3 linked regions of the Bombyx mori genome follow. The protein of the gene in region 3 purifies or fractionates together with the protein of the main gene of each other region. This does not show direct contact. Links are inferred from orthologs where the notes say so. Each region holds a gene or a part of one and is shown on either strand. Other genes may lie near its edges.

Region 1 (11,755 bases), on a different chromosome or scaffold from region 3:
ATCCATAACCCTAGAAAAGACATTTATATTTATCATACAAATATCTTCCCTTGGCGGGATTCGAACCCGCGACCCCCTTGTGTAGTGACCATGTCACTTACCACTACACCAGACGGCCGTTATACGGACGGTGTACGTCAATATTATTTTTTTGCTTATATGGGTGGACGATCTCACAGCCCACCTGGTGTTTAAGTGGTTACTGGAGCCTATAGACATCTACAACGCAAATACGCCACCCGCCATGATATATTAGTTCTAAGGTCTCAACTATAGTTACAACGGCTGCCCCATCCTTCAAACCGAAACGCATTACTGCTTCACGGCAGAAATAGCCAGAGCGGTGGTACCTACCCGCGCGGACTCACAAATGGTCCTACCACCAGTAATTACGCAAATTATAATTTTGCGGGTTTGATTTTTATTTACACGATGTTATTCCTTCACCGTGGTAGTCAATCGGTGAACATTTGTTGCGTACGTATTTTAATAGAAAAATTGGTACCCGCCTGTGGGATTCGAACACCGGTGCATCGCTCAACACGAATGCACCGGGCGTCTTATCCATTAGGCCACGACGATTTCTTAATATTTAGTTAGTTTATTTATATACGAGTATACAAATTTCTCATGTTTTTCTGTACCATACAGCGGCTGCCGCACCCGCCCCCGTTGCAGCAGCACCCGCAGCCCCCGTCCCCTCCCCCGCTCCGGCCGCCCCACGTCCCAGCCCTGCGGCTGCCCCCGCCGAACCTGCTTCGTCGGGCAGGGTATACGCCAGCCCTATGGCTAGGAGACTGGCTGAGATCAAAAACATCAGATTAGGAGGTGAGATTTTTTATTTTCCATACGCTTTTATTAGCTTCAGTCGTATGTATGTATGTTTGTAACGGAATCTTTGAACATGATTTTGACCCCCTTCAAAACGACGGATTAACTCGAAATTTGGTATACTTATTAAGGACCGATGACAATACAATATCAAATAAAAACATGGAAAAACAAAATTTTGAAAAAATTGAATTCAACTGAAAAATGAACAATAAATATTCGTTTAAAAAAACTAACAAAATACGCTTTTATAGAAAATCCAACTAAAAAATGCAAAATAAATTTTAATAAATTTGAATTAAAAATAGTGTTATAGGATATTATCAAAATAACCCTACTACTCATATCTGTTCATAAAATATTTATAACTACTTATACCATGCACCCCACGCCTTTTTACAATAAAATCATTTTTTCATACACTATTTTTAATTCAAAAATAATTTTTTTTTCCGTTTTTAGTTGGATTTTCTATAAAAGCTTATTTTGTTAGTTTTTTAAACTATTATTTTTATTGCTTAGATGGGTGGAGGAGCTCACAGCCCACCTGATTGTTAAGTTACCGGAGCCCATAGACATCTACGACGTAAGTGCGCCACCCACCCTGAGATATAAGTTCTAAGGTCTCAAGTATACTTACAACGGATGCCCCGCCCTTCAAACCGAAACGCATTACTGCTTCACGGCAGAAATTAGCAGGACGGTGGTACCTACCCTTGCGGACTCACAAGAGGTCCTACCGCCACTTAATAATTTTAGTCTTCTTACTTAACTGAAAAATGTTATGCATTAGCTTGAAACTATGAGAAAATCCGAACTTTGTAATATACAGTTTATTACAAAGTTGTTCTATTTCCCCAAATTTTTACGATTAATGAAATCCCTTAAAGTCTTTATTTATGAAAAATTGCTCGTACAAATAAGTATTAAAATTTTTGATGGATAAATACTCTAACGCCATCCCTACAAGGTCTAAGACGACCGCTCCTGTGACGAAAACGGCAATGAATGAAATACTTTAATAACTTTTAACCGTTCGAAACCGTTCGTTCGAAATCGACACCAATAAAATAATGTATTATATGGAAAAGTAATACTTATATATTAGGTCAGCACAAGGACCAGTATCCATATCTATTTAACCCCGTTGTTGTTATAGAAAAAGATAAACGGATAAAATTTTCAAGTACATACATACAACGCATTTATTTTCATGGTGATGGATTTTTTAAAGTATTTTATCCTTTCAATTTCGTAATAGTTCTATACCGAGCCCTCTGGATGGTGTATTGTCATTAAACGAAAAGGTATTTCGTTATATTGACAAAGGCACGTAATAAGTTACAATAAATGAAAGAAACTGGGAAAAAGTTTACTTTAATTTGCAAACCAAATATACCATCTTCAGGGCAAGGTACGGGTCTATACGGGTCATTGAAGAGCGGTGACCTGTCAGGAGCGGCAGCGGCAGGACCAGCGGCTCCGGCCTCCGCCCCCTCCGCACCAGCCCCCGCCCCAGCCCCCGGCGCCACCTTTGTGGACCTGCCGCTGTCCGGCATGAGGGAGACCATCGCCAAGAGGCTGACGGCCGCTAAACAAAGCATCCCGCACTACCAGCTCAGTGTCACCGTCAACGTCGAGAAAACCCTCGCCATGAGGAAGCTGGTTAACGAGAGGCTAGCCAGTGAAAAGGCTGATGTTAAGGTAAGCTACTCATCATCATCCTGCTGCCCTTCTCCCAGTCACCTGGGGTCGGCGCAACATGTTTTCTCCTTCCATACTCCACTCCTCTCTTACACATATCATCTTTCATGCAATCCGTCAATTTCTTCTTAGGTCTACCTCTACCTCTATATCCTTCCACATTCATAGTTAACACTCTCTTAACAACCTCATTTTCATTTCGTCTCATCACATGTCCATACCATCCCAAACGCGCACTTTCTCAACTTCTCTGTCACAGGTGCCACTTTCAGACTTCCTCTAACATGTTAGCAGTAATGCGTTTCGGTTTAAAGGGTGGGGCAGCCGTTGTAACTATACTGAGACCCTTAGAACTTATATCTCAAGGTGGGTGGCGCATTTACGTTGTAGATGTCTATGGGCTCCAGTAACCACTTAACACCAAGTGGGCTGTGAGCTCGTCCACCCATCTAAGCAATAAAAAAATTAAAAGTTATTTGAGGTAAGGTAAATTTATTGAGGTAAACTACTACTAACCGATTAACGATATTCAATAAAAAATTGTGGGCTCTTTGGACGCGTTAAATGCCAGAGCCTATTATACTGATAAGGTTAGAATGCTAACGTAAATGACGCCGCTATCTTGTGACGTCAGGTATGATGTAAACGTCAGGTATGATATGAATCATAGTTTAGGATATTAGCTATTTTCAGAGGCGACAGTAAGTCTGGAGTCTGGACCTTAGTTGCAATATATTGCTGTGCCGATACAACGCGGTGTCGCTACTGTCGTAATTATCAACATCAAAATATCGAAAATAAGATTTGGATCATATAAGTAGTTACAGCAACGTGTCAATTTCTAAAGGAATCCACCTTTTTAATCTAATGCTCAATAATAAAAAGATTTCATGTATATATTTATAATATTTAAAATGAAACAGCGAACAGAAATTTACTCTTACCTACGTCATATGCAAAAAATAAACTATGACAATTACGATTACCGCTGAATATGGGCAAGATGGCGTCAGAGATTGCACAGATAGCTAATTTTCAAACCGCGATAGTAGCGACACTACGGTTTTAAAATAAACTAAACGACAACAGTGCTCTGGTATCAATTAAACCGGAAAAAAGGTTACCGATCCCGATAAACCGGACCACTGCATAGTACAAACATCACGTCGGACTATGTCATTAAAAATGATAATTTTAAGGTTTCAGTGAACGACTTCATCATTAAAGCCGTGGCGGCTGCCTGCAAGCGCGTGCCTACAGTCAACTCACATTGGATGGAGTCTTTCATAAGACAGTAAGTTTGAGATATTAATAATTGATTAAAACTGTTTTGTGTAGTACGCTTTCAAAGGTATTACAGCTCTCATGGTGTTGCCAGTCATAAAAACTAAAAGCATTGTAGCGCACAATCTCGAAGTTTTGGAAGTGTCTCACGTATATTGCTGAGGCACGACCCTGTCTTCAATAAAGGCGTCATTCTATTACAAATAATTTATAAATTTTAGAAATAAAGGATAATAATAATAATAATAAAATAATAATAAATAATAATACAAGAATAAAATAAAAATAAGAATAATAATAAAGGATTTAAATAGTACAAGATATTATGTTTCTTAGTTATTGTTTACCTTTTAAATCTTTATTATCAAAACTATGCACACATTTCACTATGTGTCTTTTCATACGAAGCGAATTATTAAAGGATTTAAATGACGTACCTACCTAAGCTTTAACGTTAAATGATGTATCATCTAATCATGATATTGAAACCGACTTTTCTTTGAAATAATTTTTTTTTGTCTATCATCAGATTCTCCAACGTAGACGTGAGTGTGGCCGTGGCGACTCCGACCGGCCTCATCACGCCGATCCTGCACAACGCTGACTCCCGGGGCATCATCGACCTCTCGAAGAACATGAAGCAATTGGCGCAGAAAGCCAAGGACGGTAAACTTCAACCTCAAGAGTACCAGGGCGGTACTGTCACGGTATCGAACCTAGGAATGTACGGTATGTATTCTTTATCTACGTTTAGCTGTGTAAACATATGACATCTCGTTTTGGATGGAGTTTTAACAATAATAAAAATAATTGAGAATAACTCACACACGCTCAGCGTGGTATGGTCATGTGATGCGTAGAGAGAAGATGCATGTGACTGACTAGGAGATGTATGGAAATGCTAGTGCAAGGTAGAGGGGGAAGAGGTCGACCGAAGAAGACATGGATGGAGTGTGTGAATGACGATATGAGAGAGAGAGGAGTGAGTATTGAGATGACGGCTGATCGAAGAGAATGGAAGAGAAAAATCAGCTGTGCCGACCCCACCTAGTGAGATAAGGTGGAGAAAAAGAAGAAGAGAAGTCACACACGGTCGTCTGGCCCCAATTTAGGGTTCCTTGTGTTATGGGTACCAGTGATTGATTTAGATACGTTCGTATATATACATATATTATAGATAGTAAACACTCAGACAAAAAGCAAACATTACCTGTTCACCGCACAATGTTTGCCCGATATGGGAATCGAACAACAGTTAAGCAACAGTTAAGGGCGCTAACCATCCGACTCAGTCGATTATTATTATTATATTATTGAAGTGTTATTGATTCGATGAAAACAGGCAGAGGTGACAAAAACAAATGACAATAACGTGTTATATACCCTAACTTTATGTAATATTCCGATATGCAATAGGAATTTTACCACATATATACATTGGCGTACGTGACTGTCGTGAACGCTGAGACAGCATTGCAACACACTAGAAACGGTGCATTGACGTAAATGGCACATTGACGCACATGAGTGCGGGGACGCCGATTCAGCACCTTTACCTCATGGAGCTTCGAAGCCAGCCACGGGGCCCGCACTTCTGAACTCACATCGTCGGAAGACAGACCAGTAGCATTAATTAAGTTTAAGTTTCATTGTAATCTTTTTAATTTTAATAAACTTTAGATTCATTTTCGGTTTTCTTTAAGACCTTAGGCTGCGACCTCCGTAATTAACGAAAGTGTTTGTTGTCGACAGGTATTACGATGTTCAACGCCATCATCAATCCCCCCCAGTCGTTCATTATAGCTTGCGGCGGCGTACAAGAACTGGTCATTCCAGACCAAAGTGAACCAAACGGGTATGTTGTTTGTTAGCTATCAGCATGACCACCAGCCAAATAGACTCAACAGCGTGCCTGTCATCAGGTCAAATCCCAACTATAATTTCCGCGTCTGAATACGTCGTGTTGGAGCCCCCGTACCGCAGCACCGTAAGCTTCCATTAGCGTTCCAATTTGTGTGTACAGCCATTAAAAACTACTAATAATCAGAGGTCGGCTAGAGTCGTTCTCTCCGGACAAAAGGTGTCGGTTTGTGACTATAATGACTACTGTGGTTTTATTTATTTATTGCGTATATGGGTTGACGATCTCACAGCCCACCTAATGTTAAGTGATTAAGGGAGCCCATAGACATCTCTAAAACGTAAATGTCGCCTCCCACCTTGAGATATGAGTTCTAAGGTCTCAGTATAGTTATAGTGTCTTTTATACGTGTTCATTTATTAGGATATTCATGACGAGAAAGCCAAATTTTTTTCCACCGAATTTACGATTCAACTTATATTAACTTAATATCTATCAATCCACACTATAAGAGCGAAAGAGATAGAATACGTTTTAAATTTCACTTCTACCGTTGTGTTTTGCAACGGAAATGACACTCGATAAGCGACACTACCAAAAGTAAAACTGATATCAGCTATAGGATTATATAACTATAGGATTTAGTTTTGCAAGCGAACGATGTTTCACTACCGCTTTATTATTTTATTTATTTATTTATGTAATATGTACACACAGAAAAGAAGACATAGTACAGAGTAATAGGAAAATTATGTACAAAGGCACTGCTTATTTCTTTAAGAAATCTCTTCTAGCAGACCTGCGAGAGGATTATGATAATAATAATTAAAAGCGATGAGTGTGTGTAGAAGAGCTAAAATAACAAATACAACATGAGAATTGCATAATTTTTTTGTTTATTCCAGCTTCCGAACAGCCAAGTTCGTCACGTTCACAGCGTCGGCCGACCACAGGGTGGTGGACGGAGCGATCGGCGCTCAATGGATGAAAGTATTCAAGGAGAACCTCGAAGATCCCGCCAACATCATTTTATAAATAGAGAAACGGTCCTACCTCAATTCAGCTTAACGAAAGGATGTCGCGAAAACGTATACACATAGACGAACATTTCTAATTCCGATATTAAAAAAAAAAAAAAAAAACTGACATTTTAAGGTTAAGTGTTTTGAAACGGTATTAATTTATTTTTAACAACAAGTTGTATTTTTTTATTATAGTCGCTTTTACCGGTATCCGTATTAAAAAAGGGAGAAAAAAAGTAAAATTTATTGTAACCTGTCAAGAGATGGCCTCGTGTGTTTTTGGCTCCTTTGGATGTCCTGTATCACCGTAAGACGGGGACACAGAACATACATTTTTTTTTCATCACAATATTATTAGTACAATTTTCGCATTTTATTTCGATCACAAATAAAAAGTTTAGTTTTGCTCGTTCAAAGGACCAAAGTAGTTAATCGAAATAAGAAAAAGCTTAACTTTAAGCTTTGATAAACAGTTTGATCGTCGCGGTTTTCTTAATATTTAATTTATATATTTATTCTGTGGTTACGCTTTTAATGAGTGAGCTTTTGCTGAAAGCGCGTATTTAATAAAACTATAATTGTGATTTATGAGAAACGACCGAAAAAAAATCTCGTGACGAAATATACATTTTTACGCATTTTATTATAATAATTTAAAAAGAAGTAGGGTTCGGAATGTAGATCTACATATTTATTGTAATTTACTGTAAATATGTAATAATAATTCGTTACAGCTGTGACGTCAGTATGGAAACTAATGTATGCATTGAAACGAAACGAAGCATTATTTTGTTTTGTTAAAAATTTTGTAATGTTACTTTGTAACGTTTTGATGATGCTAGATTATTTATGAACGTTAGTGAAATATATTTTACTTACAGACGAGTTTGTTTTATTTTTTGGATTTCATTAAAATTAATATAAAGTTTTACTTTCACACCAGTTGGTGTTTTTGTCAATTTCTACTGTCATGAAATTCGCCTGATTGGAATTGGACTAATGCTGAAATTAGCTCGAAGTTTAGAGTTAAGTTTAAAAAGGATAAAAACAGTATCAATCTTTTGTGTTAGTTGTGTTCTGATTTCCAGAGTAAAAAATATAAACAAACCAAAAATTTGAAAAACTATAATTATGTACCTACATACATATTAAATATACAAACAAAATTAGTAATACCTATGGAAACATAATATGGCAATGACATTAAAAAATGGCTAGTCAAAAACTTTTTTCACACAGACGACAATTCAATACAATTCTAAAATTTACTCTGTCTGTTAAGCGGAATATTAATATTCCCTAATGAATGTATTTCTTAAACTATTAGATCATTCAGGTCGTGCCCTTGCGTGTAAAAAATTCGTGAAAAAATGAAACACGATCTATTAAGCTTCAAATTGGCAATTCATGTCAAGGTCTGACGTATGTCACGCTTAATCACAAATGAATAACAATAAAAGGTATTTATGTAATAACAATCTAGAAAGTAGAATTTCTCACGGTGTGTAGCTTTTTATCATTTCAGATGTTGATGGGGCGGAAATGGCTCTAATTTATTACCACTAATTTATTTGCAATTTAAGTACCTACTAACTCAATAGTACAGAGGTAATTCTAAATATAATTTTTCAAATGAGTATGTTCCTAAGATGTTTATGTTTGTTTTGCGTCCGACGTCGAATCTAATTGGTATGGCATTCACCGTTTCAAGACATCACGTTTATCATGTAGACAGTAACACGTTGATTGATTGACAGGCTTCGGGGAAATCACATGTCTATCATGAATCCATTTTCCATGTATGTTAAAGGCCACAAAGGTAGGTTTGGTACGTACTTCATAGTGTAATAAAACAAAACATATAATATTTATTTCCGCAATTGATTAGTGGTCGAACATGTTGTGCACGTCCCATCCGGCTATGGAATGAGCTCCCCTCCACGGTGTTTCCCGAGCGCTATGACATGTCCTTCAAACGAGGCTTGCGGAGAGTATTAAGCGGTAGGCAGCGGCTTGGCTCTGCCCATAGCATTGCTGAAGTCTATTGGTGACGGTAACCACTTACCATCATGTGGGCCGTATGCTTGTCTGCCTACAAGGACAATAAAAAAAATCTGGTACTGATCGTAAGTCTGACGCGTAAGGATAGTACTTATCTCAATGCATAATTAAAAATATATTAAAATTGCCCCGCGATCTTATCCGGGTTAAATTTAAAATTTAGAACGAATGAAACACATTGCCTTTTTCCGAGATAAGGAGTTGCTGGTGTCCTTTGTGTTTTAGTACGTTCACTGATAGTAAGTGAAATCACCAAACAGCGAACAACTATAATATATAATAAGCTAAGCTAATATCGGGCGTTTCTCACGTTATTTACTAGGCTAGAAATTATCTTTTTCTTACATTTTGTATAAGTCAATTCAACTATTTATTAACTATTTAATAACTTTAAAATTTATAACATTAGTAGTATAAATTAATTTTATTATTGCTTAAGAAGACTTTCTGTGATTCGAACGGAAATAAAGTTTAGTAACAACAATCTTAAAGTACTTGCGTCCCCCTGAATAAGCCACTAATGGTTAGTTCATCACGAGTAATCTACTTTTGCTGCGGATGAACGTAGAGGATAACAGTCTAACCCATAGACACAGCCTACAGAGTTTCTCGCCGGATCTTCTCAGTGGGTCGCGATTCCGATCCGGCGGTAGCTTCTGCGAAGCACTGCTTTTCCTAGGGCTAGTATTATCGAATTCTCAAGCTAAGTTGAGCCCGTGAGCTGACCTACTCGTCTGCGCGAAGCTAGAATAGAGCATCTTAGGCTACTAGCAAATATGTAAAGAAAAAAAACAACAGTCCAGTATTAAATGTCTATGGCAGTTCGTAGATACGTGAGCACCGTCACGCAACTAGAGACGAAAATCTCATCACCATAGTGTAAACCGTTTGTTTACTCTTCAAATCTATCAATGTTTCTCAGCAGGAATTAGCACGCAATTAATACGTTGTACTACCTGTCAAGTTCACCTGAATTCAGATTAAAAAAACCAATAGGTATATACCTACATATATCGCAGAGATTACTGTAAAGCTTATGTAATTTTTTTGACATACATATACTGTTTCTTTTAGATGACCGAAATGTCAACTGAATGGGAATCGGAGTCAGAGATCAAGAAACCCGTAAAGGATGTGCCGGTAGTTCAAGATCAAGGTCTTTTCAAACACGATACTGGTGACACTTACGACGGATACTTTGAAGCGAAAAAGAAAGATCGAAGTGTTAAGATGCATGGTATTGAATACGTTCGTTTTATTCTGAACAATATTCTTATTTTGACGAAGCCAACCGAGAGAGCATCCCATTTGATGGCAATTTTCACCGATAATACGATGCGATGGTGATACGACCGACCGTGGCTTACCTTAAAATAGCTTCTTTTGATGACAGGAATTATCTACTACTAAGATAAAATGTGATATTGCTAACGGCTAACGGAGCTTTCAAGGCGAAACGAAGGCTCTGCAACGTCAGCCGTCTCGGTACAGCGGGCCGCTGCTGGTGTCCTGGGCTACTTCGCTGGGCCAAAACCATCCTGTTGGGTCGAGACGCGATACACCGCCAACCGGACGCTTTTATGAGGCTACTCCTTCGGAGTGCGTTAGAGTGCTGGTAGCACGCCGCGCTGCCTCAACCCTCTCAGGTTGCCCCGTGGCCTTGACCGGGGAGTGGCCACCGCCTACAGGAGCAGGGACGTATCCTCGTATTGTCTTCTGTCTTGAACCTCTGGCGCGGAGAGGAAAGAGCTCAACCTTTCTCGTTCCGCCGTCTCCTACTGCGAGATGGTGGACTCGCAGAAGTCGAGCATCGCCTTAGAAGGCGATCTTAGAAGATGCTATCGCGAGATTCGAGTCTCCGTGCTCAAATCACTCCCTCGCCGTGTCGATTCGCAAGACGACCTGCTTGTTTCTGCCACGAAGTAATATAAAGTAATATAATATAATAAAGTAATCATACGTGCAACCATGAAAGATCGTTTCCATCTATTTTTAAAGTAGCAGGTATATGCCGATTGTTTATTGGCTTGTTGCTGTTTAAGTACTCCGAATATGGACAAACAACAATGAAACTTAACAGATCACATGATGTCATTATAAGAACATATGTAACTAGATTGACGTATAACCAATTACTATTCGTGCCGATTAACATAATACAATGCTCAGTGCTAAAAGATTACAATGATCGATTAGAATTATACTTCACATATTTCAATTAGACGGCATCCATTGTCCTTTCAAAGCACTAGTAGCCATGAACTGTTATTACTCTTCTTTGTTTTTAAATGACAAATATATAAACTTATGCACCTACGCTGACATACTAAGCGGACGATGCTTTTTGAAATTTAATCATTTGTTTTAAATAATTATACATGGAAGTATATATTTTTTACGTATAATCGCAAGTTCATAGCCTTCCTGAGATCTTACGTCATGACATCACTGTTTTGGGTAATAGGTACCTCTCAATTTCACAGTGTAATGGGCCGTGTATAGAGACACCCATTCAAACAATCGTCACGTTCTAATTGCTTAAATGCATTGTTCTTGTTACGCATTTGTCTCTTTGTTTTACAAATACATCCAATCGATTGCATAATTACCTTTTAAGGACCAGGAGTGTACATTACGGCTGAAGGGGACAGCTACAAGGGCGTTTGGGAGAACGATCGTCTAGGAGCAAACGATGAAGTAATAATACATTTTTCTGATGACGCGAGGTACGAAGGTCAATTGAAAGATTGGAGTTTCTGGGGTCCTGGAAAGTATTACTATCCGGATGGAAGTGTTGTTCGTTGTGATTTTAACGACAACTGTCCAGTTGGGAATATGGTATTAAGTGATCCAAACGGACATGTCTGGCTTGGGAAAGCGGAGCTAGGCTGTGGATGGTTCGGGCCAGTGAATCATTTTTATGAGATGTTGGAGAAAACACGGGACGTGTCTCGTAAGCACGTTCCAAAGATGAAAGAGGATTCCGTTAAAG
Region 2 (11,206 bases), on a different chromosome or scaffold from region 3:
ACCGTGATACCACGATACATATTATTATACACTCTCCCGTCGGCAAGGAGCTGAAATACGCCGTTAGCCAGCGAACAGGTAGGTAGGGGAAAAATACACCGCTAAAACGGCGATGGCTAAATAAGTAACTTAAAAATGGAGATGAAGGCGAGTAAAGATACAGTTACAAACGTGCTAGACTGTTTCATCTATTGATAATAAGTTTATTAATTTTAGCAATTACATACTTATTTGCAATAATTTTTTAAGCGATGCAAATGAGAATGTTTACTAGTGATACTGATTCTATTAGTTTTGTAGTTTAAAGTCGTCTTAATATTTGCGCTATGGTTCTAATGTAGTTCATAAAATTTATCAAATAATCCAGTAATAGGTTTAACAACTATTACTTACAGGGTTAGTTGAGACGGGTATTTTGAGGCTTGATTTATACTTAGCAATAAAATTTTGGGTAGGTGGTATGTAGAGAGTATGTCAGTGAATATTATTTAAGATTAAAGTCCGCTGATGAGGTTTTTTTTACATGTTAAAAATATGTGCACTTGTGTTTATCCAATGCATTAAAAGTAAGTAAGAAACAATACGGTACTATCAGCGCCAGATTTAGGGAAGAGCAACTGAGAGCAAACGGAGAGTCCCACAATTTGGAACCTCTGGGTCTGCGGAGGGACTTCGGTTCCCTCTGTATTTTGTACCGTATGTTCCATGGGGAGTGCTCTGAGGAATTGTTCGAGATGATACCGGCATCTCGTTTTTACCATCGCACCGCCCGCTACCGGAGTAGAGTTCATCCATACTACCTGGAGCCACTGCGGTCATCCACAGTGCGTTTCCAGAGGTCTTTTTTGCCACGTACCATCCGGCTATGGAATGAGCTCCCCTCCACGGTGTTTCCCGAGCGCTATGACATGTCCTTCTTCAAACGAGGCTTGTGGAGAGTATTAAGCGGTAGGCAGCGGCTTGGCTCTGCCCCTGGCATTGCTGAAGTCCATGGGCGACGGTAACCACTCACCATCAGGTGGGCCGTATGCTCGTCTGCCTACAAGGGCAATAAAAAATAAAAAAAAAAAAACAATGGAGACTAGAAAAAAAACCTTTCAAATTCCGACAAGTAAACACTAGTAAGCATTAGTTATCCGAAATTTATTTTCGGATAATTCTTGTCTCCAATTATATTTATTAAATACTAAGTTTTGTGTATTTGTGTTAAGTATTTGTTAAATACTAAGAGAATCTACGTGGTTTCACAATAAATTCTTTATTGGAAAACTCGACTGAAAAAAAATGTTCATTTTGTTTGGAAAATAATTTGGGCCCTGGCCTCCGCTCCGCTGTTGCCCGAGGCCTCCAGACCTCTAAATCTGGCTCTGGGTATTGTACTTCATACTAGATACGCCGGAGTCAGCCTGGAGTTTTATTTTATGTAGATTCATCGCCTCACTGACTGATGGTTTCCTACGAAATCGTGCTCGTTACAAGAATTGTTATTTTTTTATTGCCCTTGTAGGCTGAGGAGCATACAGCCCACCTGATGGTGAGTGGTTACCGTCGCCCATGGACTTCAGCAATGCCAGGGGCAGAGCCAAGCCGCTGCCTACCACTTAATACTCTCCACAAGCCTCGTTTGGAGAAGGACATGTCATAGCGCTCGGGAAACACCGATGATGATGAAATATCTTTCAGCTAAAGTATTACGAACGAAAAATTCTCGACTGTAGAAAAAAAAAACTCGTATTATATCTCCGCTGACGAGAATCCACTTTTATTATTAAGTATGAAAAGAATTTCGGCGCGTGACAGTATAGTGATCGATCACCTATTTTATGAGGGTAGGCAGAAATTATACGTTCTAAGATTGACGTCTCTACGTGTCAACGGCTGGATTGAGATGTCTGCCATTGCAGGATTTTAGATGAATTTAAAAAAAAAATTGAAACGTGGAAGAATTTAGCGGCAATTTTTGGGATCTCGTCTCGGAATTATTTACATAATAGACAATGCAGTATGAATACCGGTAACCATCGCGAGAACAAACACCAGCCTCAGTTGTATTGTATGATGGCAGACCTGCTCCTTAATTCGCCGTCATCTAACCCTCCGAGCTCGCAATAAGCTTTACTGTATATAGTTTATTATATATATTTATTTCCCACAACTCGTGATATTAATACAGCTTTTTAGCGGTCCTTGCACTTAGCGCAGCTTGTATCTGAAGACCTACATGCGGTTTTAAAATATATATCCAGGGGTGAAGGCTATTTATTTTAAGTGAACTTTCGCTAAATACGCGACATTTATCTTTGTAATTGAAGGTTCGTTTTATTTGGTATTATTATCAACAGTTCGATGTTTTCAATTGAACTTCAATTAAATTTACTCTATTCAAATAGCTGAAGATTTTTTTTTATTTTTTTTATTTTTTCCACACTTTAGCTCTGTAGTTGCAAAAATGTCGCTTATACCAAATAGCCTTACGCATTTCGATATGACAAGTATATGTGTATATGAAAAATAAATTTATAAAGGAATAAAATGTTAAAGTAAACATAGAAAACATTTACAATTAGGTGAGTAGGTAAGTAAAAGAAAAAAAAAACGAAATACACGTGGGATGATATTTCTAGTTGTGTTGTAGTTGGATCATGAACGGTGAACATCAATCAAACTGTCACCATCCCCACAATGTGTTCACAGGAACATCGTGGACCCTCTGTTGCAACTCTGATTGTGACCGTAGGTACTGACTATCCACTGTAAGTGTAGCAAAATTCGTGATAAGTTTCGTGATAATTCGTATTTTTGTGCATTTTCGTTGGATAGTCAAGATTTTTTTTAATATACTTCACATTTTGCAGCCATATTAATTTATTAACAATAACATGTCCTATAGAATAACAAAATTAAATAAAAACAATGATTATGTACAATTTCGGAATAAAATAAAAAATATAATTGGTTCCCGCAGGCTAGGCGTACCTATACAATTTTTTTTAATGAAATACGATTGACTTCCACATTATTTATTGCGAATTTCATTAAAGCGGAATTTATTACTGTGACCTGACTACAATGCTAGGCTGTGTAGGTTTGCTGATGGGATATTTTTGACTTCCTTTCCCACCTCGCTCGTGCGTCGGCCATTAGAGAATCACATTACCTTGGATGTTTTATGAATGAAGCTGACCCCGGATTGTAGTATTTGTTTTTTATGTAGGTATGTTTAGTGGTCCTATTAAAAATAGTATTGGAATATTTTGAATTTACCCACGAAGCTTGAATTGTCATCTATATTAAAACTTACGCATAGGTGCTGAAGACATACGCATATAAAACAATTATACCTGGAACATAGATCGGTAGGTTTTTTATGTGTTTTGGAGGCGGCTTTGGGTGCACTTATTGGTGAAGCCATCTTTGTATTGTGGCGGTCAAATTGTCCTTAGATAAATTGTCACGTAACAAGGGCGCAGCGCTGTTGGCGTGACGCTACGGACCTGCGTGTTTTGTTCGATTCAGGTGTTTGTTTAGAACAGCCTTTCCCAAAGTTTAAGTACATAGGTGAAAAAATGGGGGTGCTAAAAAATAATTTATTCTCTTAGTGAGCAGTAGTCAAAATCAGTTTGGGAGCCCCTGGTTTAGAATGAAACTATTTTTAACACTACAAAAAATGTATTGTGAAACTTTCTTTACTATTAGTATTAGCGCAGGTTCTTGGTGTCAAGTGCTCATTTGATAGTGGAATTTAAGAAAATAAGATTCACTCTCAATTTTATTACAAAGAGCTATAACGCCTTTTTTGCCCTATCTATTCGTTCAAAGCCTAAAAGCCGGCGAGAAACTCTGTGGGTTGTGTCCGTGGGCCAGTTCGCTCGTCGAACTCACGCCATCTATGGATTGACTTTTCAAACGATTAGTACATATGACGATAAACAGATGGCGTTTTTCGCCATTTTGGTTTGCTAACGAATCTGTAATACTACACACAAGCGATCATTGCAGTCCATAGCGTGACGCATGAAAGCCGCCTCGTAGCTTGAATTAATATATAATCGCAATACCAAATAAAATAAATACCAATAGCATTCGATTCATGTATCAACTTACAACAGGAATGCACGCTCACTTTATCATCAATACAATAATAATTAATATAACGACCCACTTTTTTCAAATCATACATCTTTTTGTTCAACAAATAGTATCTTTAATAAAATTATTAAATTCTAATCTCAATATAAATGTATAGTTAAATCACAATAGCAAGTTAAGACTTCTTTGCTTTTCATTCAATGCACCATGTAGAAATAAATAAAATATGTACAGATTATCCGAACATTATTAATTTATATTTGCTTGTGGAGATTCCCTGTTCTACTGGGCTTGCACTGCACTGATTCTGAAACAACGAAGCATTTTTTGGTTTTATCTACATTATTCAGTAAACACCACAGTGCACAACACTCTTGCTTCCTAACAATAGCAACAGACATCACTACACATTTGCGCCGTAACCTCTCACCCAAGCTTCCCAGCATGGAGCAACACTAACTTGTTTCCCAGCATTAAGCAACATTAGCTTGCTTCCCAGCATGGAGCAACACTAACTTGCTTCCCAGCATGGAGTAGCACTAACTTGCTCCCCAGCGTGGAGCAATACTAACTTGTTTCCCAGCATGAAGCAACATTAGCTTGCTTCCCAGCATGGAGCAACATTAGCTTGCTTCCTAGCATGGAGCAACACTAACTTGCTCCCCAGCATGAAGCAGCACTAACTTGCTCCCCAGCATGGAGCAACACTGACTTGTTCCCCAGCACGACACAGTAGTTGAGAGGAGAGCTATACTGACTTGTTGCCGAGCACGTTGGTGACGGCGTCCACCACGTCGGCGGGTCCGGGCACCGCGTGCGCCTCGAGCGTCCTGGCGTAGGGCATGGGCACGTCGGCGCCGCACACTCGCCACACCGGCGCATCTAGCTCGAAGAACGACGGCGACTCCATGACGCGGGCGCAGATCTCTGCGCCGATTCCTGGGACAATACACGTTATTCAACACTAATCCCGTTATCCTGCCACATATCGTGGTCAAGTATTTTGTAGCTTTCAAGTTAATAATATTTTATAATCTAAAGCTTACGCAAATGCCAAACGAAGCCTTGAATGCCACACATCAGCTGATTTCTATTGCAGTTATAGTGCGTGTTTTAATAGGGGCGATATTCTCTAATATCATATTATGTCATCACTGGAGCTAATAGACATTACCAAATGAATGTCGCCCCTTCGAGATATGTAGTCAACTTCTCAATTGCATTGTATTGGTTGTTGAGCCCTTCACAGCAGAACACAAGTGGGCCCCGCACGTCAGGTGCCGAGTGGTGCGCCACCGGGGCCGTCATACAAAGGACATGTCTAGTAGTGTGCACATTGAATAGATGCTTTGTTAAAGTGCAGCAGTAGCAGAATACGTTTTTCCATTTATTATCTGGCTCAAACACCCAACGTTTGTACTGAGCCTTTTAATGTTATTGTCCATAAATCCTTACCAGATTGCGGCCATCCTTGTTCTACAGTAATGAGATGATGTGTTTTGGCAATGGACCGAGCGATCGTGTCGAAATCCATTGGCCTTATTGTTCTTAGATTTACTACTTCACATTCTATACCTGAAAAATTTACAAATATATTTAGTGCAACATGCTGGAGTTTAAATTATGGACAAAGGAGTTTCAGAGGACTTTAATAATTACTTACTGAACATGGTTCATCCCAATTCAGAATCTGTTCTTTTAAACAAAGCTGCTGCAAAATTATTTGTCATTGATTACAAAACTACAATAGATTAGTATACTGGAGTTATACAACAACATATTATGGTGAATTATACAATGAAATTAAATCCGTTTTTATGAAAAATAAATTTAAAATACATTTAAATAGGTACAACAAGTTGTGAAATTTTGCAGCAGCACCCTAATTTTAATATGAAGTAAGATGTTTTCCGAATTCTGAATTTTTATTTTTGTGTTTTTGGTCTTCAGTTTTTTATGAAAAAATAAACAGTTGAATTTGCAATTGACAGCTGTCATATCCGACGCGTGTCAGTTTTGAGTTGATGAATGATGTATCTTCAGACGTACCCTTGCTTCCAGCCAGTTGTTCAGCGGCCTTGAGCGCGGTGTCGGTGCCTCGTCCAGCGCACACTAGCGTGATATGCCGACCCTCCCTTTCTACCTTAGCTTTGCCTGAAAAATAGTTCAATTTTTACTGTTAGTCAATTTTAGTGTCGTTACGCCTTATGATGTGTAGAAGTAATCTGGACGACAATAATTTATTTATTTATTTATTAATAAACAACAATTAGAGTAGTTAGGCCACTGGTGTTTCTTTTTGAAAGCTATTCGGCAACAACAGATAAGTGGGTCTACTCACCAATAGGAAGTACAAAGTCTTTGGACTGGGCTTCATCTGACATTGGGAATGGTATACCATACATAATTTCATCTTCCAACATAACAACTGGGTCGGGATCCCTGATGGCAGCTTTCAGGAGACCTAAAAGTAACATTCTAAGTAATGAGTATACCAGGAGGGCAAAATCAAAATACCAATATAAAAAATATTATATTTTGACTATTTATGATATTTGTTAGAGGAACCATCAATCAACAAAAGTCAATATATAGTTTTATTTCAAAACTACAAGGGAACAGGGTCAATAACAGCAACAAATTATAGTCATCATCTCATATGGATTTTCAAAGTATAAAATGAAACAATATACTGAATATCAATTGGTGGTCTTCAAACACACATTCACACATATAAATCAAGTCCCCCCTGTTCCATATTCACTACAAAAAAAATTATCATCTTAAAGTGGTGACATCCTGGTTGTGTGCATTATACATGGTTTCAATATTAATTCAATATTATCCAAAAGAACTTCGAAGCTATTTTTGGAATGATTACTATTTCTGGAGATGGCGATAGAGATTAGCAAAGTTCTACTTATAAAATGTTATATACCTTTATTACTATTAGATACACTATTCATATATTTTAATTTTTATTCAGGTACTGTTCACAATGATGAATGATGATAGTATTAAAAACGACATTCTTTGAATATATACAAATATATATAATCAAATGTGCACAGCTTGATGTTGTCAATTTATATATTTCCCTTAGATTCATTGGCTATGCATAAAATGACTAGGTGAACTGCTTACCTTTAGCATCCTCTGCTGAATAAGGCATTAGAACTTTAAGGCCTGGACAGTGGCTGTACCAGGCACCAAAGCACTGGGAATGTTGTGCGGCAACACCGGAGGCAGCTCCATTAGGTCCTCGGAATACTATTGGCACTGGTACTGTGCCAGCTGACATATAGAAGGTCTTGGCGGCTGAGTTTATTATCTGGAAGTGAATTTTTTTACTAATGTAGTTGGATTTTTCGGTTCGTATATGTGGATCATGACCCGCTTAGGCTTAAATCGTTGTGGAAACCATCACATTTTATGGATTCATCATAAAGTAATTATAGACTTTTATTTATTTATTTTTTATTGCTTAGATGGGTGGACGAGCTCACAGCCCACCTGGTGTTAAGTGGTTACTGGAGCCCATAGACATCCACAACGTAAATGCGCCATCCACCTTGAGAATAAGTTCTAAGGTCTCAAGTATAGTTACAACGGCTGCCCCACCCTTCAAACCGAAACGCATTACTGCTTCACGGCAGAAATAGGCAGAGTGGTGGTACCCACCCGCGCGGACTCACAAGAGGTCCTACCACCAGTAAGACTTGTCGTGATTATAGGTAGAAATTTTAATTACATTAGAAAATGGATAATCAAGTTTTAATCTGTAAGATGTAACCTTGTGGCGCTTTTATTTACTTTTTTAAAATTGACAATATCAACAGACAAATCTTTTCAAGTTATTTAGAAAGTTAATAATTATGGATGACTATCGGCCATATTTTTTTTAGTACATTCTTATCAACACATGACACACAAAAGGATTTATATTTAAACATGTATTTATGGGATTCATTACGTATCATTGTTTTAATCTTTTAAATTTTCGGAATTGTTGTCATAATGCAGTTTTATGTTTGTATTTTTTTGGTCTACCTATCTGCCAGTAGCCTCGAGGGCCTATTCAGCCTCCACTGTGACTGAGGTGGCTGAGGTCATGGACTTAACCTCAAAGAGCTTGGTAATAAAATCCATAGCAAGTGTTTCACTGAAAACAACCACACATTGAGCATTTCCAGAGAGAAACTCATTGGGATATCCCTTTTCTATATTTTTTGTTACATATTTGTTTATTTATATTTGTGATTTTTTGGTCATTGTCAACATTTGACATAACACCACCAATTGTGTCATGGACATTACGAGGATTTTGTTCATTAAATACAACTTATCAATTTTATCAGGACACTCACATGATCAATAGCTTGCATAGAGAAGTTAAAGGTCATGAATTCACAAATAGGCTTGAGCCCTGCAAAAGCAGCTCCAACAGCTATACCGGCGAATCCTGCCTCTGTGATGGGTGTGTCGATAACTCTTTTATCACCATATTTCTTCCATAGACCCCTAAAATTATTTGTTGGTTTTCATATCTTGTTCATCTTTTGTCATCACATGAAATTTATTATTTAATGATTGATTAGTGCTTCATGTAGTGTGCATTGACATTATTTAGAACCATGCTGGGGAAGCTAAAACTCACCTATGAGTCACCAACTAGATGCAAACTTAGTGCAACAGTAGGGAATTTATATTCATGTATTTATGTTAGTAGTAGAAATAGAGGATGTAGTAGTAGGATGTCTGTGTTCACTGAATAATACAATGTACACTTTAGATATAAGCCCATCTGATCATAGTTCGAAGTCACATGCAATAATACTTTTGGAATAAAAGTTACATGCCCAGATTAATTAATGTTACTTATCTGGCCTTTAACTGTGACGAGACCGGTACGCTAAATACTGATAGGCTTAGTTTATAATTCAGAGCTTAAAATATAAAGGTTGTAAACTTTAAGTATTCTATGTTTCTATTGTTTCATATTAAGAGAAGGCATTATAGCTGAGCATTAACACTTTTATATTTAAGTTTTATTTTGTCTGTTTAAAGAATTTAATGTTTTCATAATCTTCATGTATGAAGGAAGATATCATTCTAAATTTTCAGGATTAATGGCATTAAAATCTTATATGAAACAGCGTTCTTTTATATGATGATAGTTAAATGTCTGCACACACTTAAATATATTTTTTACTTTTGGATGTGATTTTTATTTTTCAGATTTTCAGAATTTTGTTCCAACATATTCGATAGATATTATCTAGTATAAATTACAGAAATTGTTTTAAACTATAAATAGGTTGAAAATATTATGTATTAATGAATTTCGATCCATTTTATATGATTTATATTTCATTGGTTAGCCAAATTGCATTCGGGTGTTTGTTTGTTTACTGCAGTCGTATCGACAGTACATCGACTGCACTATCGATTTGCTAACGATAACATTGAACTTGACAATCTGTCAACAAATGAATGGGTTATGTAATGATGAAACGAATTTGGATTACATACAATCTATTGTGAGCTTAATTGAGATAACAGAGAAGATTAAAATAGCAAATCAAGTTGAAATTTCAGCAATAACTAGTAAATATAATAGTCGACTGTTATGTACATACGATAGGTTAGAATGTTTTACCTTGTAACTTTGTAGGCACCATCGTATTGAGCGACTTCCTCTCCCAAAACGAAGACTTTCTCGTCTCTCTCCATCTCCTCGTCGATCGCTTGATTTAAAGCATCTCTTACAGTCACCGGCTTAGAAGCCAGAGCTTTCGATGTGGCAAAACTGCGACGGGATAATCGAGTGAGCATCCCGAGAACAGCCGGCGATGATTTTAATGCCATTTTAAATATAATGTCACTGTTAAATAATTTTTGCAACACCTAAACCAGCAAGGTGGTTTATTGGCGAGGTAAGATCTTAGTTTTGTCTAAAATGATATTAAATTCGCGAATGAACCGCGACGAAGGATGAATGGAGGTCGTTAGTGTATCCATTGAAGTTCGTACGCATAACGCATGACACTGTGACATTACAGTAGTTGTCAAATTTGTTAAATGTCAGAATTTTTCTTTGTACGATTGAAACTGAACTACGGTTTAATATTTAAACTTCAAATTTCAAAATATATTTTAAGCCGACAATTTTATTACGTTATTATCATTTTACTAGTAAGTCCATCGAGCTTAATCCTTTTATTTATGAAATCATCGATCATGTCATTCGATTTCTTGGATTCAGTACTTATTACTTAATTTTAAAATAGGAGTTTTTTCATAATAAAATTAATAAATCTGCAAAAAAAATTTTTTGTGTGATCAAACTTTTAAATTCGTTACTTTTCTTCGACTAAAATGATAATAAATGTTTCAGCTTATATGTATAGATGTCTCTACTAGAGAGAATTCAAATTCAGCACATGCATAGAAGTAATACTGTTCTGTGATCATTACAGAGATGGCGCTGTAAAAGGTAATGTACATCTATAGAATTAAAAAACACGAGACAAGTCATAAAATAAAAAGAGGGATTGAATGCGGCATTCTCGAAATTGGTTGAGGTATCTATCTTCCCTGGGACCTGGAAGCGGAGGCGCTCGCTGCGGATTACGCGTGGCGATGCGATCTCCGCTCTAGGGGGGAGCCGCGTCCCAGCGTGGCGGAAGTTCGAGCGCGTAAGCTTCAATCTCGGCATGCCGTGCTCGAGGCGTGGTCTCGCCGACTGGCGGACCCCGCCTACGGGCGACGGACCGTCGAGGCGATCCGCCCGGTCCTCTCGGACTGGGTGAATCGCGACCGAAGGCGTCTCACCTTCCGAGCGACGCAGGTGCTCACGGGACACGGCTGTTTCGGTCGTTACCTGCACCTCGTCGCCCGAAGGGAGCCGACGCCGAAATGCCACCACTGTAGTGGCTACAACGAGGACACAGCGGAGCACACGCTCGCGTACTGCCCCGCTTTCACGGAGCAGCGCCGCGTCCTCGTTGCAAAAATAGGACCGGACTTGTCGCTTCCGACCGTCGTGGCTACGATGCTCGGCAGCGACGAGTCCTGGCAGGCGATGCTCGACTTCTGCGAGTCCACCATCTCGCAG
Region 3 (10,922 bases):
ATTTCAATTTTGATCTCTGACAAATCTTTTAATATGCTTAGTTAGATCAATATAAGTTTTTCTAAGTTTGTTTTATAAATAATAGAAATTTTACAACTAATCAAGAGATGTGCGATATACACAATCGCAAAAAAGATGGTCATTTTGCATTTTAAAACTAAAAGATCTATAGCCTTATAAGCATATATAAGCGTATATGAATGTATATGAAAAACAAATTAAAGGCTTACTTCATGATTATTTTTCACTGTAAACAAGTATCATTCAACCAGTTGTCTTGCTAAAATAATAGGTAGAAATAATAGGCTTAGTAATTGAACACCATTTTCCAATATGTAGAGGAACTATATTATTATTGTTTTAGTTGTATGTAAAAAAAGGTTATTGTATTTGAATTTTTCATTATTGCAGGTTAATCTTGTCAAAGGTGTAGGAACTATAGTTGCCCCAAATAAAGTTGAAGTACACGGAGAGAAGGGTGTTGAGACTGTTAATACCAAAAATATTCTAATCGCTTCTGGGTCTGAAGTTACACCTTTCCCTGGAGTTACTGTAAGTTATTCTTAATAGATATGTTTATTTTATTAAGTGGCAAAAGGTGCAAATTGACAAAAGAAATTTTCTTGCCCTCACACTAATCATACAAGAATAGATAGGTTTTTGCCTTTTTAGTAGTGGTAAAAAGTTACTTACATTGCGAAAATAGTCCCTTTTGATATTCTTATCTGCTCATATTAGAGGAATTCTGCTTTTGTCAATTCAATTAGCCATGATGTGTTCTAATTGATTACAAAATATAAGATTAAATAAAAAAGAGTGAAACTGCTTGTAGCATATTGTGATTATAAATAGAATAGAATAGATTATAATAGAATAATTAGATAAAACATTTTCCAGAATTCACAACAGGCTTATATAAATAGTTTATGAATAAACTTTGTTCTTCTACTTTCTTCAGGAATGACTGCCTCAGAATAGCAATTAAAAATAATATAGGGCATTGTAGTATGCATTAGTTAATTTAAAAAATAGCTTTGTATTGCGATGCTGCGGCTTTTGTTGTAATATCTCTGCACTGTTGTTTTTGTTGTAATAGTCCTAAGATACCAAGCTGGTGCATAGGGCCTTCATAAGTTGTATCCACTTGACCCTATTTTGCGCTTGCTCCTTGACATCACTCCAGGTCATGCCCGTCTCTCGGCCCGCTGAACGGGGGAACCGGTGGTCTTGTCGCTGGCGGCCACCGGTCCGGCGTCCGTGAGACGGTGGGATGGATGTAATGTGCTCTGCGTCAACCCTGTCCCGCCGTTTCAATAGCCCCGACTGGGCTCCGGCCCGGTCCGAGGTAGGGCGCCGGTCGTGAGCGGCAGGAGTTTTTAGTGAGGTTCAACTCCCACATACCCCACCTGCCGCGCGGGTGGGGATCCGGCGATTTTCTCTTGTGGGAAAAAAAAAAAAAGGTCATGCCCGTAGTCCTCGTCTTGCACTACTGATATTTTATTTGGAACAATAAAAATATATTTTGAAGCTATTACATAATGATATTTCATCATAGTAGTTTTAAAACAATTTTAAAAATCTAGAATCACATCTATACAGTTTGATGAGAAACAAATAATCACATCGACTGGAGCACTTTCCTTGGAGTCAGTACCGAAAAAAATGTTGGTGATTGGAGCTGGAGTTATCGGTTTGGAGCTTGGTTCTGTTTATCAAAGACTTGGTGCTGATGTTACTGCAATTGAATTCCTAACTAGCATTGGAGGTAAAATAATAATTTTGTCAAATTTCAAATAATAAAATATGTACCTGTTATTAATTCCCATATTTAACTATTAATTTAATTCGCTTTATTAATGAAATTTAAAAAAAATCTGTATCAGTCACTATCTAGATCTATCTGCTAAGCTAATTTAATATCAGAACTGAATTTAAAAGACTCAGACAATCACATAAACCTCAGTGTATTAATATTGTCTGATTAGATAAAGTCACAAGATATTGCAAATAAAAAATGTAGTATCTAAAAATAAAGAGCTTGCAAGTAAACAGATAATAGTTTGTATGATTGATTATGCATCATCATACTGTCAAATAGTGTAGACCTTCAATACTCACAAAAGAATAATGTCGTCCACTGTGCTTTCGTTTGATTTAATTAAATATGTATTTATTTTTTATTGATAAGACAGGTGAACCTGTTGTTAAGTGGTGTCCTGAACACAAACATCACAACATGTGCCTCCCAACCTTGCAATGTGTAAATCTCTATAATAAAGTATATCTAAAGGCTATCACGCCCTTCAAACCAATACATGTAAATTACTAAGATAGACAGTGAGATGGGTTATAATTCACCCTATTATCATTAAATACACAAATGATTCTTGCCATATTGACGTTTACTACACTTCTTATTATGCAATTGACATATGAATTATGTTAATGCCTATTTTCCTATGTCTTAGGTGTTGGTATTGATGGAGAGGTAGCCAAGACTCTTCAGAAAATCTTAAGCAAACAAGGAATGAAATTCAAACTGGGAACTAAAGTTTTAGGGGTTAAGAAAGAAGGTAGTACTATCAAAGTTGATGTTGAAGCTGCTAAAGGTGGCAATAAGGAAGTGGTAAGGTTTAAGACATTTTGTTTCAAAGTGGCTAAAGCAAGAGATAGAATAATAAACCTTTGATGAACTGTAGCTTCATAAAGAAAAACAGAGTGGAATAATATTGATAATAGGACTAAGGCATTTGAGGGCTCCAACGATTTATCGTGTATTTGTGCCTCATAGGAACTGTTTAAAGAATTTGTTTGAAACAATCTAGTCATATTTATTTTACAGTCTTACCACCCTCCACTGGTACATATTTTTCAGCAATACATTTTTTTGTTGCTTTTGAAGGCAGACGAGTTTACTTACTGCCCACCTGAAGGTGAGTGGTTACCGCTATTAATAGACTTCAGCAATAGCACAACCACTCTCCACAAGCCTGGCTTGAAAAAGAACATGTCAGAACTGGGGAAAACACAGTGGAAGGGGTTTAATTTTAGAACCAGCTAATACGTGGCAAAAAAGATATTTGGAACCACACTCAATGGACGCAGCGGATACAAGTAGTATAGATGAACTCTGCTTTAGAATAATATTTAATAATTATTCAGACCGTTCTTTCAAACCACTGCATTCAGTCACAGTATGTTATCAGAGATCATATTTCCCACACACCCTTTTGCTCCGAGATGAAATTCTGTGATTCCTGATATCTTTGCCATTTTCTTTTTCAAACGAGTTTTTGAAAAAAGTTCCCAGAAGTCGGCTGGGGGTTATTAGTGTCCCTGGCATTGCTGTGTCTATGAGCGATTGTGTTCAATCAGGTGGTCCATATGCTCATACGAGTTTTGAGGCAATAAAAATAATAACGTAATAAATTAATACTTATATGTCACATACCAAATGAATATTAGTTTATTTATAATAACATATTTATTTCCTTTTACCTTTAGCTACCTGTTTATTGTTAATATATTATATGGTCTGATATTTATCTTAAAAATATATTTCAGTTGGATTGCGATGTGGTGCTAATTTCAATTGGTCGTCGCCCTTACACTAAAGGTCTCGGGCTCGACAAAGTGGGCATCGCTTTGGACGACCGCGGCCGGATTCCTGTCAACAACAAATTCCAAACTACTGTGCCCGGGTGGGTCATCCAAATTAACATACTGGTGTTAGGACCAGGTGGTATTTTTACTGGTGGTAGGACCTCGTGTGAGTCCGCACGGGCAGGTACCACTACCCCACCTATTTCTACCGTGAAGCAGTAATGCATTTCGGTTCGAAGGGTGGGGCAGCTGTTTTAACTATACTGAGACCTTGGAACTTATATCTCAAGGTGGGTGGCGCATTTGCATTGTCGATTTCTTTGGGCTCCGGTAACCACTTAACACCAGGTGGGCCGTGAACTCGTCCACACATCAAAGTAATAAAAAAAATCCAGTGTATTTCATTCGAGTTGCTATCTGCGTAACAGTCAGTAACGCTACGACTTTGACGTTCATACGACCTAATAGTCGAAATCTCAATCGCATTTGGATAAAGGGGAATAGCATTTAAATGAAGGAAACATAAGTACTTATGCCAACAGTATTTCTTGTGGCTCATAATATTCTATATTGCCAGTGTTGTACACATGTGTCTGGGAGGAGAGTTAAATAGGTAAATAAGGAGCGGATACTGGTACAACAGACAAATGATAAGGAAGTATGGAAGTATTAAGTATAGCATTCGCGGTACGCGATATTGTGATCATCACGGACTCTTGCTAATAAAAAGGATTTCATTTTATATTATTTCCAGAATTTACGCTATTGGTGATGTAATTCACGGACCAATGTTGGCTCACAAAGCGGAGGACGAAGGTATCGTCTGCGTGGAAGGTATTAAGGTAAAACAAAATTTTGTTAATCAAACTAATTTTTGTTAAATATTGACCATTGACAATACGTTGAATGGCTTTGTTATGTGTGAATATAATTGAATAGAATTTTAAAATAGAATAGAATAGAATGAAAACAATCCAAATATTTTGTATAAAACTGCTTGTCAATCAATCAACTACAAAATAAAACAATGACCGTACATGATTTGTTCTCAGTTATTATAGTTAATTGTTGTGATGTAGATTAGAAATTTTCAATAAAATGGATAGATATATATTTATAGACAACAAGGAAAGAAGGATAGCAAAGGATTAGATCTAAGTTTTAATAGAGATCGCTGTTATAGCAGACCTGACTATTTTTGTAACAAGGCTTTAACTGCTTTAATCACATTAAAACCATCAAAATAGAACTAAGTGATATTTCAATCGTTGAAGGTGAAACTGAAAAAAGTTGTACACAAATTTTCAGGGTATGCCCGTCCACTTCAACTACGATGCAATTCCGTCGGTTATTTACACTTCACCCGAAGTTGGCTGGGTCGGAAAGACTGAAGAAGATTTAAAGAAAGAAGTAAGTCTCAGAACTTATTTGTTTTGAAAATGCTAAGCTGTCATTCACAACTAATTAATATTGTTAAAGGGCAGAGCTTACAAAGTGGGTAAATTCCCGTTCCTGGCGAACTCCAGAGCGAAAACGAATGGGGAAACTGAAGGTTTCGTCAAAGTGCTTTCCGATAAGACTACAGACGTAATCCTTGGGACTCACATTATTGGCCCTGTGAGTATAAAAAAATGTTAATGTTTATGCTGGCAAATGAGCACTTGACAAAATTAAATGTTATTAAAACTGTTAACAGTCTCAATCTTTCGATAGATGGCACTGTTTATTATTCTTAACAATAAATATTATATCGTAAAATATTATAATAAATTGTATTGTAAAGATTAAAAAATTTGTCAGAAATAACCATCTAAAATAAAAATGTAATTTTTTGTGTTTATTTTGTATGTGATACAAGCCCGTGTCTTTTGTTTGATGGCGCGCTACTAGTACGCCATCTATCGTTCGATTACGTTAAAAGACTTTATATTTTGAACATGAATCGCTTTTTTAGCGGATTTTTAAGATCATTATCAGCAATATTACTGGTATATAAATATTTGATAAATTCATCAGGGCGGTGGTGAGTTGATCAACGAGGCTGTACTCGCGCAGGAGTATGGTGCCGCTGCTGAAGACGTTGCGAGAGTCTGTCACGCGCATCCTGTAAGTATAAATATACACAAAACGAAACTTAACAGTCAATTTTGTTCAGTTTCGTGAACATGTAACTCGGAAAATCCGCTTTGTACCTTAAAGTCATTAAATCTTGATAGTAATAATACCTATAGTAATGATTTGCATTTTTTTTTTATTGCTTAGATGGCTGGACGAGTTCACAGCCCACCTGGTGTTAAGTGGTTACTGGATCCTTGAGATATAAGTTCTAAGATCTCAGTATAGTTACAACGGATGCCCTAACCCTTCAGACCGAAACGCATTATTACTGCTTCACGGCAGCAATAGGCAGGGCGTTGGTACCTAGCCGCGCGGACTCACAAGAGGTCCTACCACCAGTATCTTATCATGCATACAACTATACATATGTACATATAAAAATCTTGCATTAGACGCCTTCAGCTCTAAAGCTAGGAGCAGGCTTAGGGACCCGCGAACCCTACTCGTCGAACTCTGCAAAGTTTGACCTGTAACCTAACCTAACCCACTGAGTTTCTCGCCGGATCTTCTCAGCCGGTCGCGATTCCGACCCGGTAGTAGATTAATGCGCGAAGCAGTTGCTCTTGAGTTGTTAGGTCTCCTATGGAGGCGCTCGGGCAGTTGTTAGGAAAACTCACCCCTCATGGCTGAGCCTTTGCTCGCCCACCTATTATGGCGAAACTGGACAACCAGTAATCCCTCAGTCAGAAAAAAAAGTACATATATACATAATATACCATATACAGTGATGGGCAAAAAGTAATCAGATTAATAATTACAAATTACAGTTACATTGTAATTGGTAATTGAGATACTTTGTAACAGGTTACTTAAGTAACTGATTACAGTGAGTACTTATTGTAATCAGTTATAAAGTAATTCCATTATAAGTTAATCTAATTACATTAACTGTAACAGATTACTTATGTATTTGAAACAAATTACTTATAATTACTGATAATTGATCACATAATTATTCTGTTATGTTATGTTAGGAAACCTAACAAAAAATGTCCTACTAATAACTTTTTTGACAAACGCAAAAATGAAACACATTTTATATACTTTTTTTATAATCTTTTATCATTTAACGTTCTTTTTTTTAAATTAATCATTGGCAGATTAAATTAAACAACATTATTTTGCTGATTTATAATTTAAATTACTTTTTTTTTTTTTTATTGCCCTTGTAGGCAGACGAGCATACGGCCCACCTGATGGTGAGTGTTTACCGTCGCCCATGGACTTCAGCAATGCCAGGGGCAGAGCCAAGCCGCTGCCTACCGCACTTGACCTTACTTTTAATATGACTCTTTTTTCAAACATTTCGACTGACAGACGGTTGGTTGGCTTTCGGACAATTAATCATAGTAGCGTACGAAAACAAAAAAAAGTCGAAAAGTAATAAGCAAAGTCGTCCCCCACTCCGCACACCTTCCTTTCTAGTTCACTATGAAGTGAGCCTTACCTATTTATTTTTATTGAAGTACATAAAACCTACCTATCTAAAAATCGATGTATCATATATATAAATATGTGTTTTTATTACAAGTGTTATATTCAAAGTAATTACGATTTACGATGTAATTGATTACTATGTAATTAGGTTAGATTGTAATTTAGTTATATTGCAATTAAATACATTGTATTCAATTACTTTCACATCCAAAGTAATTCTAATTACAATGTAATTGATTACTATATAATCAGATTACATTGTAATTAAATTATTTTGTAGTTTAATTACTAATTAGATTACAAAAGTAACTAGTTACGCCCATCACTGACCATATATATATTTGAATATAATTAATGTAAATTTGATTTCAGACATGTGCCGAAGCGCTACGTGAAGCAAATCTAGCAGCGTACTCCGGAAAACCAATCAACTTCTAAATGTAGAGGTGCTAATAATTAATGAACCCAATGAACAACTGGGTTTTTAGTCTATATTGTGTCCGCTTTAAGGAATCTTGTATGAATGAATCTGATTTAAAAGGAATCGTGCCACGTACGTTTTTAAATATAAAGCTCAAGTAAATTATTACAAGAGTATTTGAAAGCGTTGAAGGAACACACTGTTATTTATGAAATCATTAATTGTGACGCCAGTTTGCTAGTATGTGATATTTATTTGTATAATAACTAATAAATAATTTCAATAATACTTATTTTTGTTAAAGTACCGTTTAGTTTTTTTTTTTGTGCAAGTGCATACCTAAAGGATCCTTACTGTCACTAAAAATAAAACTACATTTGTGTATTTATCTTGTTTTGTAAATACCAGAATACATTCATGTAAGAAAGTTTTATTTTTATTTCTTAACTAAAAAACATTATAACAAAAAATTTAAATGGGAAATTCATAAAAACAAACAAACAAAGTTCAAAACTTAATTGTGTTAACAAACGTATAAAATAGAAATCTTGACTAGACAAACTAACGAGTAAACAATTCGTGTTGTAGAAAGAAAATCAACAATTTCATTTTTAAATTAATCTAGTTGAAATACATTAATATAGTAAAGGATAATCATTGTAAAATGTCATGGATATAAAACATCTACTTTATAATGGATATATTAAATCTACAGTCAATTTACCGAACAATACAATCTGTGCTTAGTCGATAGCATTACGAAAAGCTATAAAACAGAATTAGAAGTAGGTCGTTCTGGAACTTTATCTAACAACTAAAGTTAAGAGTAACAGTCGGAAGAAATGACTCGTGAAGTAAGAAGGTAGCGGTGGATAAAGCGGTGACTAACTCTATTTTAATTACGAAGGTCCTTTTGACACTTCTTAGAACGTAACTCTTCACTTTTCGCATAATTTAAAATAATAAACATTTTTTGTTCATGGTCGTAAACATCATTTAAAAAATACACAATCAATTTAAATCAAGATACAATTAATTCACACACACAATAACATAATAATAACATCTGTATCATTAGACTTCGTAATTGGAATAGAGAAGTATGATTGGTTGCAACATTAAATTACTAGATCACGGCAAGCCTCCGCTGAAGAAACGAATGACATTTACAATTTTGGTGTGAATCTCTCATGAATTTAACTAAGGCGGTCCGTTGTATCATTTTCATAAGACTAATACAGTACACGCGGGCTAATTTAGTCGGCTTCGACTTCAGCAGGGTTATTGTATTAATTGAAATGAATGTAATTATAGTAATTTTGTCCGTGCAGTTTGGGTCTTAAAACATAGCCCGGCTAGGGCGGCGAGCATGTTGCGCGGGCGCAACGCAATTATTGATAAAAACTAATGAGTCATCGAAGGCAGGTACACGGCGGCAGGGTGGTATACGAAGGGTGGTGAGACATTGATATGTTATGAGTCATTTGTACTTACCTGCAAATTAAATTACATTATGTCGAAGAGAAATGTGTTTTTATGCATTCATTCTCTGAATTTCTTTACTGACACAATGGCTACTCCTTTGTTTTGTATCAAAACAGCAGAATTCATTCAAAATAATATTGCACGTGTTGTTATCAACAATGTGTTAAAAATTTTAACTGAAATAAGAATAGATCCCGAAAAGTTACAAAGCTCGTTAACTTTCTGCGGCGATATGTGATGTAAATGTTCGATTAGTGATTTTTTCTTTCATTTTTATCACTAACCCACAAAATGACAAAACTAAATACACTATCGATAACGCTTATCGACAACAATAATGCGCATCACTATGCCCGTCCATAAGGCTCATGAGTGGAAGAAAGAGCGAAATACTTGCTTCACTGCTCCGACTTTTTATGACCCAAACTGCACGGACAAAATAATTCTACTATAGTAAATACGATGGCAATGAATTACCGAATGACGCCAAAAAAAGTTCTCCCACGACTAAGCACGTTTGGAAGTTCAGTACGCCTTCATATATTCAGTCCGGCTAAATCTACTACATAAAGTACTGTGCAAACTGCTGCGTATCTTATAGAATTGACAACAATCTTTACATAAACAAAACGGACATAACAAACATTGAAAAAATATATATACTTGTATAAAATCATGCCAAAATCACCAATGATAACACATAAAAACTTAGAAACTTATATACACATACATATACTACTACATATTTTAACACAAACAAAATCAGTCTATAAGAGAGCACAAATACTAAAAAGAGTAGAAAATGTATTATTTCCTATAAATATAGTCTAAGGGGATTTAATCTCATTAGAGGTGTATGGTTATTAAGTAAAATTTCCATTATAGGATCCAGGATAATGAGCGATTACTGTTACCAAAGCTATTGCTTTTTAATCTATTGATTAAATTGCTATTTCAAAGAATTTAAGCGTAGAAAAAATGAATAGCAACTATAAAATCGAAACAGGATACAGAACCTCTTAGATTACACAAACATTGAACTGGGTGAGCATGAATAGTGTGACATACCAGGTAAGTTATAGGTATTACAGAAAAAATACAAGGTTTTTCAAGCTCGACTTAGCTTAACTTTCCTGTATATTCTCTTCTTCTTCTTAGTCGAATATTTCATTGCTGAAGGTCATGTCCTTGAAAGCCCTTCGTGGCTCTTTGTACCCTCAGCTTCCATTTGCTTCGGTTTTCGGCTTCTCTCAGGGCGTTCGCAACAGAGAGTCTAGTGAGCGCAGATATCTGATCCGACCAACGGTATGGTGGCCGGCCGGCGGGTTTTTTCCCTTCTACCTTGCCCACCACAATCAATCTTTCAAGGTTGTCTGGTGGCCGCCGAGCAATATGACTAAAGTAACCAAGAACCTTCTGGTAGCAAATCGTAGACAGTCTCGTTTCTCTTGGCGGTCCACGTACATTACACAATAATAACCTGATTTTATTCATAAATTTATCATAATAAAGAAATAAAAGTAATAAAATAACATTAAAACATAATCCTGTAGGAATAACAAATTCGAACAATCGAAAAATCAAACAAAACAATTTTATAATTTAATTAGTTTTAAAAATAATCGCTCATTGTTTAGTATTACAATAATAGTATCGCAATTGCGAATACTTGTAGGTTATAATAATGTTTAAAAAATCTACGATAATTAATATTAAATCTACGATAAGATCAAGGGATCTGCAAATTGATGCAAAAATTAATTCGATGGATATCATTGGAAACGAACACCAATAATTGCTCTGAGTCATCTTTCAAATCCCTTGCTAATTCAGCCCCATGTGTCCATTACCTGATTGC

The links.
Region 1: the proteins of DLDH (region 3) and dihydrolipoyllysine-residue acetyltransferase component of pyruvate dehydrogenase complex, mitochondrial purify together in Homo sapiens (affinity purification with mass spectrometry; 4 studies listed by BioGRID and IntAct, counting the BioPlex papers as one, with this or other methods). This does not show direct contact. The link is inferred for Bombyx mori from reciprocal best matches to the Homo sapiens genes DLD and DLAT.
Region 2: the proteins of DLDH (region 3) and pyruvate dehydrogenase E1 component beta subunit purify together in Homo sapiens (affinity purification with mass spectrometry; 3 studies listed by BioGRID and IntAct, counting the BioPlex papers as one, with this or other methods). This does not show direct contact. The link is inferred for Bombyx mori from reciprocal best matches to the Homo sapiens genes DLD and PDHB.

What each region holds. Positions count from the first base shown.
Region 1 is NC_085109.1:9,378,332-9,390,086, reverse strand, and holds the end of dihydrolipoyllysine-residue acetyltransferase component of pyruvate dehydrogenase complex, mitochondrial, read left to right. Parts: intron 1-651; coding exon 652-828; intron 829-2,239; coding exon 2,240-2,535; intron 2,536-3,734; coding exon 3,735-3,829; intron 3,830-4,348; coding exon 4,349-4,548; intron 4,549-5,571; coding exon 5,572-5,674; intron 5,675-6,585; coding exon 6,586-6,715; 3' UTR 6,716-7,584; downstream 7,585-11,755. Other genes in the region: uncharacterized protein LOC101744577, read left to right, coding at 9,838-10,000, 11,381-11,755.
Region 2 is NC_085112.1:15,802,707-15,813,912, forward strand, and holds pyruvate dehydrogenase E1 component beta subunit, read right to left. Parts: upstream 10,173-11,206; 5' UTR 9,958-10,172; coding exon 9,749-9,957; intron 8,865-9,748; exon of another isoform or gene 8,611-8,864; coding exon 8,457-8,610; intron 7,421-8,456; coding exon 7,234-7,420; intron 6,554-7,233; coding exon 6,431-6,553; intron 6,244-6,430; coding exon 6,139-6,243; intron 5,665-6,138; coding exon 5,545-5,664; intron 5,029-5,544; coding exon 4,848-5,028; intron 4,397-4,847; coding exon 4,372-4,396; 3' UTR 4,182-4,371; downstream 1-4,181. UniProt on the Homo sapiens protein: The pyruvate dehydrogenase complex catalyzes the overall conversion of pyruvate to acetyl-CoA and CO(2), and thereby links the glycolytic pathway to the tricarboxylic cycle.
Region 3 is NC_085128.1:7,021,876-7,032,797, forward strand, and holds the end of DLDH (dihydrolipoamide dehydrogenase), read left to right. Parts: intron 1-411; coding exon 412-552; intron 553-840; exon of another isoform or gene 841-1,438; intron 1,439-1,599; coding exon 1,600-1,765; intron 1,766-1,809; exon of another isoform or gene 1,810-2,045; intron 2,046-2,468; coding exon 2,469-2,626; intron 2,627-3,564; coding exon 3,565-3,701; intron 3,702-4,357; coding exon 4,358-4,445; intron 4,446-4,911; coding exon 4,912-5,013; intron 5,014-5,082; coding exon 5,083-5,220; intron 5,221-5,619; coding exon 5,620-5,709; intron 5,710-7,530; coding exon 7,531-7,596; 3' UTR 7,597-7,885; downstream 7,886-10,922. Other genes in the region: uncharacterized protein LOC101742417, read right to left, coding at 10,894-10,922. UniProt on the Homo sapiens protein: Lipoamide dehydrogenase is a component of the glycine cleavage system as well as an E3 component of three alpha-ketoacid dehydrogenase complexes (pyruvate-, alpha-ketoglutarate-, and branched-chain amino acid-dehydrogenase complex).